Linked DNA regions of Oreochromis niloticus. The protein of the gene in region 1 interacts with the protein of each later gene in a pairwise test. Links are inferred from orthologs where the notes say so. Each region holds a gene or a part of one and is shown on either strand. Other genes may lie near its edges.

Region 1 (7,397 bases):
AAACCTTCACTTACTCAAGTATCTCATTGTACTCGATGCTCTCCTCAAGGTTTTGCAAGTTCGGGTTTGCACTGCGAATTGCTCTCATGTAGGCTTTTAGCAGCTGAATGTCTCGTTTCTGGAAATGAAAAGCAATAGAGTGAATGAAAACCTCTCAAAACTGCCTCAAGTACAAAATCTGCAACTGCCCATTTAAAAAGCCCAAATAGATGCATGTCCACACCAAAAAAAAAGTGCAATAAGAATGAGGAGACCATTGTTATTGCACGTCCATCAAGCACGTATAACAGGCATGCATCTGTGTCTTATACCACAAAGACATGGCACTCAAATTATTTCTGCCAAATATCATACAGACAGACAACTGTTAATATTTTATCAAGACTAGACCTAATATTTTGTCAAAAATATACTATTGTGTTGGCAAAATACTCTTACTTGTTCCCCCAGCTGGTGTTTATGTTCTGCTACAGTTTTTTCCAGCTCTGAAATTTTAGTTTGCTGCTGCTGGACAACGCTCCGCAAGTGTTTAATACAGTTATGATTGGGCAACTCATCTTTGGGCATTTCAAGCCTGCAAGAGTGAGAAAGACAGAATATTAAGCAAGAAAAGAAAATTTAATACTACAAAATACAAAGGAGGTCACATTCTTATAACAATTTATGGTAATATTATTATGGTTGTCTTAGTGTTTCTATAGATGTCACATAAGGCTTTGGATTTATTCTATGGAATCCACTTACCCACATCCCTCCTCACAGTTGACAGGCCTTTTGGGGTTGTGCTCACAGTCCTTGAGATGTGACTGCAGCTGGTCCAACCGCAGTGTGGCTGTGCAACCAAAGCTCGCATTATCACAGCTGATCTGAAGTTTGGACAACATGTTGCGCATAATGCGGGGCACAGGACGGAGGTGAGCCAGCGTCACTACTGTGCGGTCAACAGGACAAATCTGCTGCTGGGCAAACCACTGCGTTATACAGGCATTGCAGAAGGCATGTTCACAGTGTGGAGCCTGAGGTGGAAAAATCCATATGCATAGAAGACAAATTTAATGTCAGAAAAACAGATAGAATTAAAAGGTGGGGTGTATTTTGATCAGAGACTTGCCTGCACTGGTTCTTCTAACACTCCACTACATATTGGACACAACAGGTCTTCATCCACCTCCCCTTGAAACCTCGTAACGTCGTACCCCATGGTACATTACCCACAACCTCCTGAACAACACACAAAAAGGTTTTTAGCCATATTAACTTCTTAAAGACACAACTGTACACAGATGATACTAATCTGTACAAAGATTTTAAGTATTTTGCATTCTTATGCAACAGAGAGGCACTGACTGATCCTAAATTTATTTGGGTGCATGATAATGACCCCAAAGTGATTAAAAAAAAAAACAACAAACACTTTTAGTGACAAGAAAAACACCAGATGGTACTCAACTAGCCCTGAGGGGTGTACCACAAAGCGAGACTAATAGTTCAGCAGTGTATGTCAAGCTTAAAACTCAAGAGTTTTCAGTGTCAAGTTGGTCACCATGGTAACTCATGTTAAACTCTTAACCTGGTCCAGAGCAGGTCGTGTTCAGAGTTTTGGTTTACAATTGTCAGCAACTGCCACAATTATTAAAATATAATGAGGTTATATTTTTGTATGTTCTTTCTAGATCCCTATCACACGATCTGGCAATTTTATGCTGAAAAGCAGTCATGTGATGCATCAAATTCCCTTTTTATGCAAGTGTGAGAATCAATAAAAATCTTCATTATGTCCAAATAAAGTTTTAGGTTTGGTAAAGCCAGCTAATGCAAAAAAAACCTGGATATGTTGAACCTGCTTCATAATACAACTCTGCTCAACACCATCAGCTCAGTCTGAGTTTACATAAAGAATCAAAAGCAGTTGAGAAAACCCAGATTCAAAGAACAGTGACAAGTTTACCAAGACGTGTTGACAAATTACTTGCCAAGCAATGCCAAATAATCTGCCTAAATCCTTTACATAGTTCAAATACTTTAAGCCTACCTCACGCACAAAAGCCCTCAAATGTTTCCATTCAGGTCCTGATGTTTTGCTGATACGTCACATCTGGTAAAATGGCCTCCCTGCTAAAAGAGTTTAAAAAAAAAAGAAAAAGAAAAATTATAACATTCATAGAGATTGTTAGATTGATTGCACTTGCATGGAACAAAATCCAAGATCGACGCAATTTATCTGGAGATATATTAAAAAAGACGTGAGCTCAGTCGTTTTCAAATTTTCTTGCAATAATCTATATTCTTTACCTAACAGCATCCCACACCTTTTTTATCTTTATGAACATCGTTTTCTGCTTTAATCAAAAAAAATTTAAAGGAACAATGACTCAAGACATTGAGCACACAGCCCTGACTCGATGCCCTTGACCTAACGTTGTGTAAATTTAACCCTACTGTCACCTACAGCACCTAATGAGAACATCCTGTCATTCCAGCTGACTGGCTGATGACCCAATTTGACTGAAAGCGGCACATGTAGGCGATTTACAGACCCCCATTTCTCCAATTGCTCTCAACATGCCCTGCAAACATTAGCATTGCTAACGTTAGCTATGTGAAAGATATTTCGTTGACAACGCTGTACTTTGCCCCTGTTATTTGGGGTTTATAATTAAAGAAACTGGGGTCATCGCACAAAAAGCACAACAATGCTCAGATATAAGCACCCCTCTCTAGTCACGAATTACATGTAGCTATCGCTATTCCACTAACCATCCCTTTTAGCAAATACGGTACCGTTGGTTTTCCCTGGATATTAGCATCAAGCTAACCAGACAGAGCTCAGTCTAGGAGTATTACACAGAGAAATATCCGTTTACAATTACACACTCTAGAAGAAAATACCATAACTAACAGATATACTTACCTAAGCGTGTATTAAACTAGTTCTTTATGACGAATTCTGTGTTTTTTCAGACGTCCCAGTGTAGCTAGGAGCTTGATAGCCACGTCCTGTGCTACATCCTACACTTCAGCGTCATTGAGACGCAAGCGAGCGGCGACGTCATGACGTACTGCTACAACGTTCGTTTGATTGGTCCTTTAACTTTCTCTCTCTATATATATTCATCTTTCTATCTTCATTCATTTACAGACCATATTATAATACACATTTACACAAATCTGACTAGAACTACCAGTTAATTTTTTTCCGTGATGGTTTCATTTTTAAAGACAAATATGGCACAAATACATACAGTAATCTGCAAAAGACTTGATTTACCTCTCATTTCTTTATAATTTCCTTCCAGGAAGCAAAATCTTCCATTTTGATCTTCTTATATTTTTAAAGTTGTCTTCAACAATACGTCTTTAGGTTTTCTGGATGATTTTTCAAAGATTTTTTTGGGACATTGGCTGTTTTATTCATTCATTTTCAGTCCATTCCTATTATCCACCATATTCAGATGAAAACATTTTTCTCTCTTAAACTCTATTAGACAAGCTTTTTAGTACTTGAATGAATCATTCAAGCATTAAAAAGCAACAAAGTCATGGGATGAACTAGTGTTGTGTCTTTGGATAACGCATTAGCAAAGATTTTGCTAATTTATCTGATTTTAAATTGCATCTTTAGGTACTTTGTTATTAGAAGCCTGTTGGAAGACAAAAGAAGTGGAAGGCCTAAAAAAAAACTGTGTCTGAAAGTCAGCAAAGACTTGACACAGGACCTCAGAAATGCATCATTAGAAATGGTCTCAGTGGAAGAGTGGCTGTCAAGAAGCCATTCTTAAAAAATTAAAACAGAAAATGCTGAGGTATGCCATGACTGACAATGAGTCGCAACATGTGATTCAGTTCAGTTAAATTAAATTTTATTTACAGTTCATTAACAGTTGCCTTTAGGTGCTTTATATTGTAAGGTATACACTTGGTAATAATAAAGAAAACCCCAGCAGTCACCCCAACATCCCAATTCCCTGTGACCAAGTAGTTGGTGATAGTGGGAAGGAAAAGCTCCCTTTACCTGGAAAAAAAACCTCTTGCAGGACCAGTCCCAGTGAGGGGGATCCATCTGTAATGACCAGTTTGGTGTGAGGATGATGAATCCAGATTTTACATTTTTGTCTCAATGTTTGGAGGAGGTCAGGAGAGAACTAAACAATGAATGGCTTAATTTATAATCATGACAATGACCACAAAAAGCAAAGTAAGTTAAAGAATACCCGGATTAACAAACAAAAAACCATACACACAAAATGGATCACTATCCATCATGGACTGACCTTCCCAGAGCCTAGACATCAACAGTGTGGGGGTGACTTTGACAGGGAACAGAACACAAATTAGCCAACATCCAAAGAAGAACTTTGAATCTCCTTCAAGATGCCTATATAATTATTCCTGAAGACTACTTACAGACTAAAATGTGTCTAAGAGAGTTCAGGCATCGTTTAGGAATACCAAATATTGATTTTCAATCTTGTTGGAGTTGTGCAATCTGCCAAAATACCAGATTTCAAGATATGTTTGTGCATGTAGCTGAATTGCTGCAACCATTTGCCATTTTCCTAGCAAAGCATAAAGAAACAGAGGGTTGCTCATTACTTTTCCACAGCACAGCCACACAAATATGACACGATTCTTTCTCAGCCATGCAGTGAAAGAACATAATGTTATATTTAGGACAGAAGGTAAACAGGAAGGGGGGAAAAAATAGGTAGAAATATCCAGATAGAAAATGCACTTTATGCAGAGTGGGTGGATCCGGTTTAGCAGAAGGGGGCAGACACTGAAATGAATGACTCCGTCTATAACAGTGTGAGTGCATGCTCCTCCAACACTGACACGGTGTCATTGAACTGCACTGGTACTCTTATAAAACTATGTGGTTTTAAGCAAGATAAAATTGAGTTCAAATTAGTCTCGCTGTTAGAGGAAACTTAGAGCTAGATATGGCAATATTCACATTACTTTTGCATGCAAGTCACTCGTTTTATTACATTAGTTTCTTATGAAACTAGTGGTTCAATCTGGTATAAACTCCAGCAGATCAATATTTTAATGTCGCTTGTTACTGTATTTTGCAGAAAACATAAACACTTTAAAAAGTATATAAATTCCTTATGAGTAACACACAAAGGTCAAAGTCCAATACACTCCCATCATACTACTATAAAATGTGAGCTAACAGTGGTGGTAAATACAGTCAAGTTCTTTGCTTTGTCAGTTCCTCATTTGAGTTGAGAAACCTCAAGCCTCAAGTAGATTCTCACATACACACACACACACACACACACACACACACACACACACACACAAAAAGGTTTAAAATGTCTTCTCAGCTTTTTTTTTTTTCTTAGGTTCCTAGTTTGAAAGACTGGCGAAAACACAACACACGAAAAACATAAATAACTCCAGACTCAAGAAATATTTAGCAATAGCACTTTATTGAACACAAACAACCCTAAGCCACAATACTGAATGACAAGACCAATTGGCTGCAGCAAACATTTTATAAAATAGATTCAGGTTTAATGTCACTAAATTGTTTTTTTTTTCCTTTTAACGTCAGAAAGACAGATGCAGGTTTTTCCAAAACAGTGAATGATCTTTTACATATTTAACATTTCTGTAACAAATTATCATTCACATGTTCACACAAAGGAATAACAAGGCAAAGTGCTTTCAGGATTGCATTGTCGAAAAAAATTAAAATAAAACAAAAACAGAAAAATGAATGGCTTGAGGTTAAAGGTGAGACGGTGGGTGAGAGGGGAGGGGAGGGGTGGGGGAGTTGGGCTGGTCCTGTCTTAGAGTAGGCATGGGTGAGCTGTTGGGTGGTTGTGAGGGTGGTGGGATGGCGGGGCCTGGTCTGAAAAACCTCAAACCTTTCACCCTTGTCCCGTACCCCTTTGTACTCAAAACTGGATGTAAAATGTTGGGGCAGTGCGGAAACAAGACGCCTGTGTAGCAGAATTTGGTACAGAGTGGACAGATGGATTCAAAGGCATACGGCTCGAGGGGCTCAAACTCATCCACATTTACAAATACACCTTACTATCATCCCTGTGACAACCTGTGATATCATTACAACTGTAGGGGGGGAGAAAAAATAAAAAAAAAATAAAAATCAATGGCTGACCCAGAAGGAAGCTGTAAACGTTGAAATATTGTATACCATAGGGCTAGATGGGGGAAGTATATGCATAAGAGGAAACCAAAGAAATAAATGCTGTTAAAATATAAAGCCAATGGTTATTCATTTTCTTAAAAAGATGATTCCTCTGACCATTCGCCACTGAATGTTAAAGGGGATAGACTATCATCATAATCTGCATCATAACGTTGTCTGGCTTCACATTCCAGTGGTATTTTGTCGTATAAATGCTTCTCATAAATATTTTTTTTTCCAACGTCAAATAGACAAGTACACATACAGCACAACCAAGCACACTTTATGTATAACTACCATTGCTTATGATAAATCTGTATTCCCGTACTGTGAATAAACTTTTTTTTTTTTTTTTTTTTAAGTCAGAACAGGTGGAGAGACTAACAATACTCAAGGCTGCAAAACAAGGAGGTAGGAGAAATGCTACTGAAAAAACAGCAAGTGAAGCTAATGTGATCGTTCACTTAAACAATTGTGATACACCAGGCTTCCTGAACCATGCTAGTGCCAACAGCTGCTAGTCCAGTTGGAGTTTGAAGAGCTGTGTTTTAACAAGTGTTTGATTTTAACTTTGAATATTGACTTGGCTATTTAAAAAACAAACAATAAAAGTATCTGCAGCTTTCTGACAGCTCCTGCATTGACTGGGGTAGCAGCTGTGGTGATGTACTAGTTAAAGAAATCTTAAGAGGCTCATTCATCTTTACAAAAAAAAAAAAAAAAAAAAAAAAAAAGAAAAGGAAGAAGAAGAAAAAAAATAATAATGTCTGAATCGTGTCTTAACCCTATATTCCCAGACTGGTCATATTTCAAAATTGACTAATTTCAACTTCATTGGTCCTGTTGTCATCACAGGTCTCGAGACCGCGCTGCTGGTGATGGCATTGACTCCTTTACACACAGTAGAATAGTATATTTGCAGATTTGTAAATGAGGTAATCAGCGTTAGGCTAAATAGGGAACCCTGTCGTTGACACACATGCCCACTTCATTCACCAGCAAAGAGGAAAAAAATAAAATAAAATAAAATTCCTCAATCAGAGGGACAGGACTGTGGAAAATTAAATCAACTTTGGAATGTTGGGTGGACAAGCCAACTTTTTTTTTTTTTGTTTAACTTTCTGTGAAGGTGCACTGTGAAACTCTTTGATTGTAATTCATCACATGACCTGATTCAAAGTCCTTCCACTCATGATAAGGGCTCCTTTGTCATTACCCCATAATAAGCCACTCAAAA
Region 2 (8,045 bases), on another chromosome or scaffold:
CAGTAGAAAAACATGCTGCACTTCCCACTAGTATATATAGACGATAACTGGCTCATTATGCATGTGTTACTTGTTACGTGTAGAAGAATGGCAGTGGTCTCATGTTTGTATAAGTCATTAAACGTAATCTGTAATGAACTATCCCAGGAAGGAATGAGATGAATATTAGAAAGCCAAAAACAGTATTCAGCACTTTGAATATCATTTGCGACAGCTTGCAAAATTTCAGTTGCAAGAAACAAATGTGCTATTGGGCCGGGGGGGGCTGGCCACCCCCCAAAATTTGCGTATTTGTTTTTCATATTCACCCATTTTCAGGGATAACAACTTTAATAGCAGGAAATTACGTAGGCATATAATTCTTTTCTTTATCTCTTTTTTGCCATATTTTTCAAGTATCCAATATTTAACAACAGCATAATAAAAAAAAACGGGAAATTGTGTTTAGTGTGCCACCCATATGGCCATTCCTATGAAAGAATTTTTAAGGCGTCCCTGTCATTAATAACGTGATACAAATATGTTTGAAGGCAAATAACTGGCTATAGTTCATTGCCTAACAAACATTTCTGTTGCTTACCGGCACATTGGGAGTGTTGGATTTGGTTATTTTGTGTCAGCAACCAAATCAGTAGCACAGAAATGACACACACACTTTTTTTTCCCCAGGCTTTTGAAAACAGAAGGTAAACTATCCAGAGCAGTGGAGACTGCTGCAAAAATGCAGTTCTGCCAGCATCGTGACCTGGAGCTTGAACCACAGAGGCTGCTGCTAATGACATCTGCCATCTCCTAGTGATGTCCCTTCCTGCAGTCTGGGCCTACATCAGCTCACTTATGATGCTTGAACACACATCTTAGTAATACGCTCACTGACAAAAGACTGAGCGGACCTGAATCTGATGTTCTGAAGTACACGTATCATGATATGACATATCATGATCACTGAATGACACAGGAAATCATTCCTGCCCATGGCCATCTCCCTATACAACTCCTCCATCTAATACACTGTAAACACTGCAACAGTTACATTCTTTTTGCACACGCTCTTTCTACTCTGTAATATTCCTGTCAACATTTGTGATATTTATTTATAATCACCTCTGTCAATCCTTGATTTTTATTATTTAGTGATTTGTATATATTGTGCTATTTCTTAAATCCGTAACATACCGTATTGTTAAATAGTCTAGTCTGTTTCTGTTATTTATACTGGAGCAACTGTAACCCATATAATTTCCTTAGGGATTAATAAAGTATACCGATTCTGATTCTGATATTGGAACTGCTGCGGAAAATTTTGCTAGAATGGCAAGACACTGAATGAACTTTAAACTGCCAAGAAAACTATTCCAATTTGTTTTCTCATCCTACAGATTTTGTATTGTAGCAGCTTGCTTGCTCTTGTTGGTACATACGCTTGATTAGAGCCGGACCAACATAGGATTTTTAAGACCGATATTGATATATGATGATTTATGGTGACAACGCACTCATTGTTGTGTCTGTAGTGCTCTAAAAATGAAGTTGCAGAGTGCCCTCTGGTGGATAAGTGATTCAAAATCAACAATCACATCTTGGTTGAAGAGTGTTTCTTTCTCTGCTTTTTTAAATTTTTATTTATCAGCTATCATTATTGGCAATAAAGATACATGTGCAAATAGCCAACATCGGGCTTGTGTTTACTATCGTACTGTCTTTGTGCCAGTGAATGTGGAATCCTGTTTAAATGCACAATTCTCTAGCCTATAGCCAGCATAGATGTTATGATATTTTTGGGTAACCAGAATTTCACTGTGGTATGGGTGCTGGTAAAGTTGGGTTTTCGGGGAAAAAAAGCCATGAATCAGTCTCTTTCTGCCTTGCTCATTAAGTTGCATGTTGCTAAAATGCATGAGCAACTGTCACTTAAATGTTGTATGAACCAGACTGGCAACAAGACTGGCAACAAGACTACTGGATCATAGGAGGAAAAAAAATGACATTAAGCACAGTCATAAAATGATCTCTCTCTTTCTTTGGCAAGGTTTAATAAACAAATGTGTATACAGTGTCAAGTTAAAAACATTCACATTATCTAAAACACACCCCAAACTGTTACTAACCTTCAAAGTTGAGATCAGCTCCGTAGCGTAGGAGGATTTTTGCTGGCTGCACCAGACCCCGCTCTGCCATTTTGAACAAGGCATAGCTGATCCCCTCCACAAACACCTCTGACTGGGATTCTTGCTCCAGAAGCTCCACCAGAGACCTAGAAATTGCGGATTCTTCCTCAGAACTCCTGACAGGAGGAGAAAGAAGCACCTTATATGTAATGTTTTGTGTGTTATCTGATACACAATTAATTACGGCAGTGTAGCACTGCCAAAAGAGGACTGTAACCGAATAGCCAGGTTTACCTTTCCTCGCCAATGTCATCTCGTTCTTCCAGTCCAATAACACACATGACAGCATCTACCAGCGGCTGATACTCATAAATTATCCTGCGAAATCCATGGAGGAAAGGCATGGCTCTGCCTCGGTGATCCTAGGTTAGCTCCTAAAAGCATAAAAGAAATGCTGTGTGCTGAGGGTGTGTCAGTCTAACAGAGAACGCAACGCAGATATCAAAGTTTATCTCCTGAGTACAGCTGACAAAAGTATTCATATCGTGGGTGACACGTCACAGTAACAGGCTAACGCAGTGGTTTTAAAATCCTTCATATAAAATAATATTTACTCCTAATACCGATTAGTTAGCTGGACCCGTGCAGTTAACGTTAGCTGACCGTTTGTCTAACATACGCTAACCGCAACGACAGTTATGTTATAAAAATGGCGACAAAAGTGTCGCAGTCAATGACAGCATGACTTACCAAATGTATCACTTCTTAACTTGCTAAATTATAAATAAATGTCTTAGCGAAATTACTTTTATAAGAGAGGAAAGTCACTCAGAGCAGACTCCCTTCAAAACAGGAAGCTTTCCTCACGCCAGCATCCGTCCGACGCTGTTTTCATTCCCATTTAAAATACAAGCCTAAACAAGGTTCCTCTTTCGAGTCCGTGTCCTTCAATCAAAAATGAGTAACTAAGCAAACACACTGCACCACTTCAGTTATTGAAACATAGACATTTATTGAGAATTTAAATGCCAAATAGTGATTTCGGGTATTTAAAGGTTAATTAGTGTATAATCAGGCCTTCCCGCAATCTGAGGCGTTTTCATTATAATCAATTATAACTACATAGGAGCAGGCGCTGGTTTCTGGAAACCATCCATCTTTAATACAGCTGCAGACACGGACATGGCTTTTCCACCTAATAGCTTTTTATGTATGTGGCTAAAGATCAACCACATACATAGTATGTCTTATAAGTCACTTTTAAGTCACTTTTAATTTGATAATCACAAACTGTGTGATTTCAAACTGTGTATGATTATTTAACATTTATATTTTGCACATCTCCTCATTTATAATTTCCTCATCTCCTTATTACTGTCATTGTTTCTTCCACCATGCACCCTCATTTTTAATTCATCCTTTTCCTCCTCACCTCAAGCCTCATCTCCTGATATGGTTGCAATTACTTATTGTCAGCAGATTAGACATGCAACCCACCTGTCTCAGGACAAGCTGACTAAACAGTAAGAACAGCTGGTTAGCAATGTTCGAGCTATGGTTAGGCTTGAGTGTACTAAAAATCACAACTTTCCCTCTTATTATTAACAGCTTGATTAAATACTGACAGCATATAATCACTATAGATGTAACTGTAGCAAGTATTAAGCACTTGAACTTTGAGGGGTAAGAAAACAGAATTCAGTTGACTGCGGTCTCCAACATACTGACATCTATTGGTGATGATTTACACATTGTAGCTTTAAGTAAAATGCTTTTGTTGTTGACTTATGATCTGTCAAATATATTTTTCAAGAATGATATTGAGTTATTTTGTGGTAGAAATAACATTCCTGTCACAGGTAGAAACTGTAGATTTTTTTATGCCAATTTATCCGGTGTTATTGACATTAAAAATATCCTTTTCAAAAGGTATCTCGTGAAGAGGGCAACAAATACAACCAGTTACCACCAGTGGTATAAAACAATCAGCAAGTGCAAAAAATAAAAACATACAAGTATGACTGTAAGGAAGTCTGCTGGAAAACTAACAGAGATATTGGAAGGGAAAGACAGGCTGCTCAGTCCTAAAGAGAAAACTCTTGCAACAGCAGCCATTGTGACTGAAGCAGAACTTCCAAGAGGGACCTTCTTACTTTGGGTCAATATTAGCAACAATTTTTAATTAACTGTAACGGATCCAAAAATGTTTTTGTATCCCGGTGACTATTGTAATTATTTTGAATAATTCTTCAAAACTTTAGGGTCACTGCCAAGTAATGAGACTTTAAAAGTACCTCGTCTATGAGCTCTGATAAGCCACAGGCTCGGTTTTTGATTGTAGATTTAATTGATTGCAGCATGATGTTGATTTCTATTATCATTATTATTATTGTTATTTTCAATTATGGCTCCAAGTAGAATCAAAATGAGGATAAAGCATGCTGTGTTTTAGTGCAGACCTACCTTGTGATTGACAAGCCTGTATCATACGGACATGCACCTTCCTGCCATTTCTCAGTCAGTTAAACCCCTGCTTTTTAAAACAACGCTGGCAGTGCCCAAAATGCTCAGTTCATTAATTAATGAGTGATGGTGCATGGTGACTGTGTACACTTTTTTTATATGCACCCTTAAGACTCTGATAATAAACTTTAACTTTAGCAAAGGTTTACTTAGAAAGCTGCACAATTTCCTTTTTTTAACTCCTTTCCAAACAGACAATACTATTGGGAAAGATTCCAGGATTTTCCTCAAACATGTGTGTCCAGTTCAGTCTATTTGTTTATTATTTTATGTCACAAATCAGTCTTTGTTTCTGATGGTAACTGTCATGTATTTATCAAACCATACCAACTTCCATCCAACGATCAAGTGCCTGATTAGCATTAGCATATGTTTCCTTTGATATTCTTACTGACCAACATAATATTTCTCCCACCAACACGAGCAGTTCTAAAACACTTTCTTTTGTCCATATGGCACATTACTCCAGGACAGCAGCTTTCGCATTTGTGACAATTTCTCCATTATGCCGACAGCATCTGGTTGTTAACAGTTGCCTTCGTCCTGTTTAGCAAACAACCTCCTGCTGAGTCGGAGTTTGTTGACAGATGGCTCACTTTGAGAACCACAGAGGAAAGCCTTCTCTCTCACAGGATGTCATTTTTAGCGCATGTGTTTGTGTGTCTGACTTTAAACATCACCCGTCCCAACGACTGCACGTATGTTAATCCAGTTTTTGTTGCTGACACACTGTCTCAAACCATTACAAAATGGTGCAAAAAATGCTGAGGAAGACAAATTAGCTATACAAGCATATTCTTTTTGTAGTTTTAAATAAAAACAAACAAACAGGGAAAGTAAATATTTTTGATTAATATGTTAAAATTAATGAACAAATACACAGCTAAAAAAAATTAAATGAACAGTTTGAAATCACATTAGATCTCAGTGGGAAACAAATCATGCTGGATAGCTACACTGACATTGACTGGGTAGTCTGTTAGCGTTTGAGGGAAATGAAAATGATCAACCTACAGAGGGCTGAACTCAAACACAACCCAAAAAAAACCCAAAGCGAAAATTTCATTTTGCTGAATTTCATTGCAGCAACTCAAAATGGTACTCAGTAGTTTTTATGGCCCTCACATGCTTGGCAACATCTGAGCATGCTTCTAAAGAGATTGTGGATTGTGTCCTGGGGGATCTCCTCCCAGATCTGGACCAGATCATCACTGAGCTCCTGAACAGTCTGAGGTTCAACCTGGCAGTGTCAGACGGACCAGAGTATGAGAGGTGTTGTATGAGAGGTGTGACGGCCAGTCAGTGGTATCAGTTCCTTCATCCTCCAGAATATGCCTGCATACTCTTGTCACATGAGTCTGGGCATTGTCATGCACCAGGAGGAACCCAAGGCGCACTGCACCAATGCAGGGTCTGACAATGAGCCCAATCATGCTGAACGATGTCACAGGCAGCATAATGCTTTCCACAGCTTTTCCAGACCCTTACACATCTGTCACATGTGCTTAGGATGACACCGGTGGACCCGCCAGCTGGGCACCAGAGTTCCAGAAAGTGAGCACAGGGCCCACCAGAGGATGTTGAGATCTCAGGCCAACCTACATAAAGTCTGTTTCTGATTGTCTGGTAAGAGACATTCATAACACCGGACTTTTGGAGGTCATTTTGTAGCTTTGGCAGTGCTCTTCCTGCTCCTCCTTGCACAAAGCAGCACATACCGCTCCTGTTGATGGGTTAAGGACCTTCTATGACCCTGTCCAGCGCTCCCAGAGTAATAGCCTGTCTCCTGGAATATTCTCCACGCTCTCAATACTGTGCTGGGAGACACAGCAAACATTCTGGCAGTGGCATGTATTGATGTGCCACCCTGGAGGAGTTGGACCTCTGTAGGGTCCAGGTATCACCTTGTGTTATCAATAGTGACACTGATCCTCACCAAATGCAAAATTAGTGAAAAAACAGGCAGAAAAGATGAGAAGAGAAAAAATGTCCCTGACATCATCAGTAAAACTACTCATTTTTGGGGGGATGGTTCATTGTTGTCCTTCTAGTGCACCTGGTATTAATTTCATTAACACTAAAGCGGCTGAAACTGATTAACAACCCCCTATGCTACTTAACTGCCCAGATCAATATCCCAGCAGTTTAACTGACTCAATGCTTTACTCTGATTAAAAAGCGGTCCTTTCATTTTTTGAGCATTGTACATAACTCAAGGGTGACTTTATTATTTTGAAGATGTTTAGGTTTAGAGTACTGTTTGATTGCTGTCTAAATAACTGTTGATACAAATTCTGCCTTTAGGTGGCAGCAGAGCAGCATCGGCACACAAACTGCACCCTAGACCTGTTATTATACATCACATGCATGAGTGAATGGTTTTAAATGCGCATGAAAGCAAACACAACCTATCATGTAGATGTGGACTTGAGCAGAATCTCAAACAAGCATCACAGGGAGACTCTCTCCGGCATCCGGCGGGCTTGTCCTCTAGAGCGGAAACAGAATGCAATAGTTTAATCAAAGTTTGATTAATTCTAATTTTGTCACTTTCAAGACAATTACTGTTTTCACATCCAAGTAACCCGATCAATAAGGCGTTGTTCCCTGAACGGATGGCAGCCTGTTCATAATCTCTCTAATGAGGGTGAAGTCTCTTTTGCTGTTTTCCAGCCACACTTAATTTACTCTGGATTTTCAAGGCGTGCGCTCATGAATAAACTTCCTTTTACCTTTCCTTTCACAAAACTGCCGCTGACAAGTTAAGTCTTTGTGCGCACACCTGTCAGAGCTCCCCGGCGAAGCAGACAAGCTATTTTTCCAACTCTCACCATGTGGTCACGGGAGCATACTGCTTCTTGTTAGACGACAGTACAGGCAGGTGGCACAACGCACATCACGCATTAGACCGTGAAAAAAAAGCGTTTTTCAAACGCAGGACCCCCCTCCCAGGTATCAGGCTCAGCATTAATGCATGTTCTTGAGGAAGTTTACAAACCTCACTACGGCACCACCGATGTCACTGTTGTTCTCAAAGCACGGCATGTCAGGTCCCCACAGGTATCAACACATGACACTTGAAATAGCTTTAGGAGAACAGCTCTGAGCCACTTTCACAAGAACGCCGTAGGAGAAAAAATGAATTTGCAAAACACTCATTCACAGTGATACAGTCATTTAAGCACCCACGGTCCCGTGTGTGATGAAACGCCTCAGTGGGATTCCAGGTACTGAAGAGTAATGATCGTAGTTAAGAGCAAAGCTTTGTCAAAAATATCATCCTTTGTGCTGTTTGTCCTTTTCTTGACGTCTAATTTTGAGCTGGATTGGAGGGCGTGAGGCAAACCGGGAGGAAGAAAAGAGGGGAGATAACTGCAGTTCCATTCCTATACGAGTAAATTGGCTCTATATTAA

The links. The genes of interacting proteins can lie anywhere in the genome.
Region 2: the proteins of rnf41 (region 1) and asb6 interact in binary tests that used the Homo sapiens proteins (3 or more experiments, as listed by UniProt). The link is inferred for Oreochromis niloticus from reciprocal best matches to the Homo sapiens genes RNF41 and ASB6.

What each region holds. Positions count from the first base shown.
Region 1 is NC_031984.2:9,466,398-9,473,794, reverse strand, and holds the start of rnf41 (E3 ubiquitin-protein ligase NRDP1), read right to left. Parts: upstream 3,069-7,397; 5' UTR 2,912-3,068; intron 2,116-2,911; 5' UTR 2,033-2,115; intron 1,222-2,032; 5' UTR 1,202-1,221; coding exon 1,112-1,201; intron 1,017-1,111; coding exon 745-1,016; intron 575-744; coding exon 439-574; intron 119-438; coding exon 15-118; intron 1-14. UniProt on the Homo sapiens protein: Acts as E3 ubiquitin-protein ligase and regulates the degradation of target proteins. Polyubiquitinates MYD88. Negatively regulates MYD88-dependent production of pro-inflammatory cytokines.
Region 2 is NC_031977.2:11,037,922-11,045,966, reverse strand, and holds the start of asb6 (ankyrin repeat and SOCS box protein 6), read right to left. Parts: upstream 3,066-8,045; 5' UTR 2,915-3,065; exon of another isoform or gene 2,859-2,914; intron 2,543-2,858; 5' UTR 2,513-2,542; coding exon 2,403-2,512; intron 2,285-2,402; coding exon 2,109-2,284; intron 1-2,108. UniProt on the Homo sapiens protein: Probable substrate-recognition component of a SCF-like ECS (Elongin-Cullin-SOCS-box protein) E3 ubiquitin-protein ligase complex which mediates the ubiquitination and subsequent proteasomal degradation of target proteins.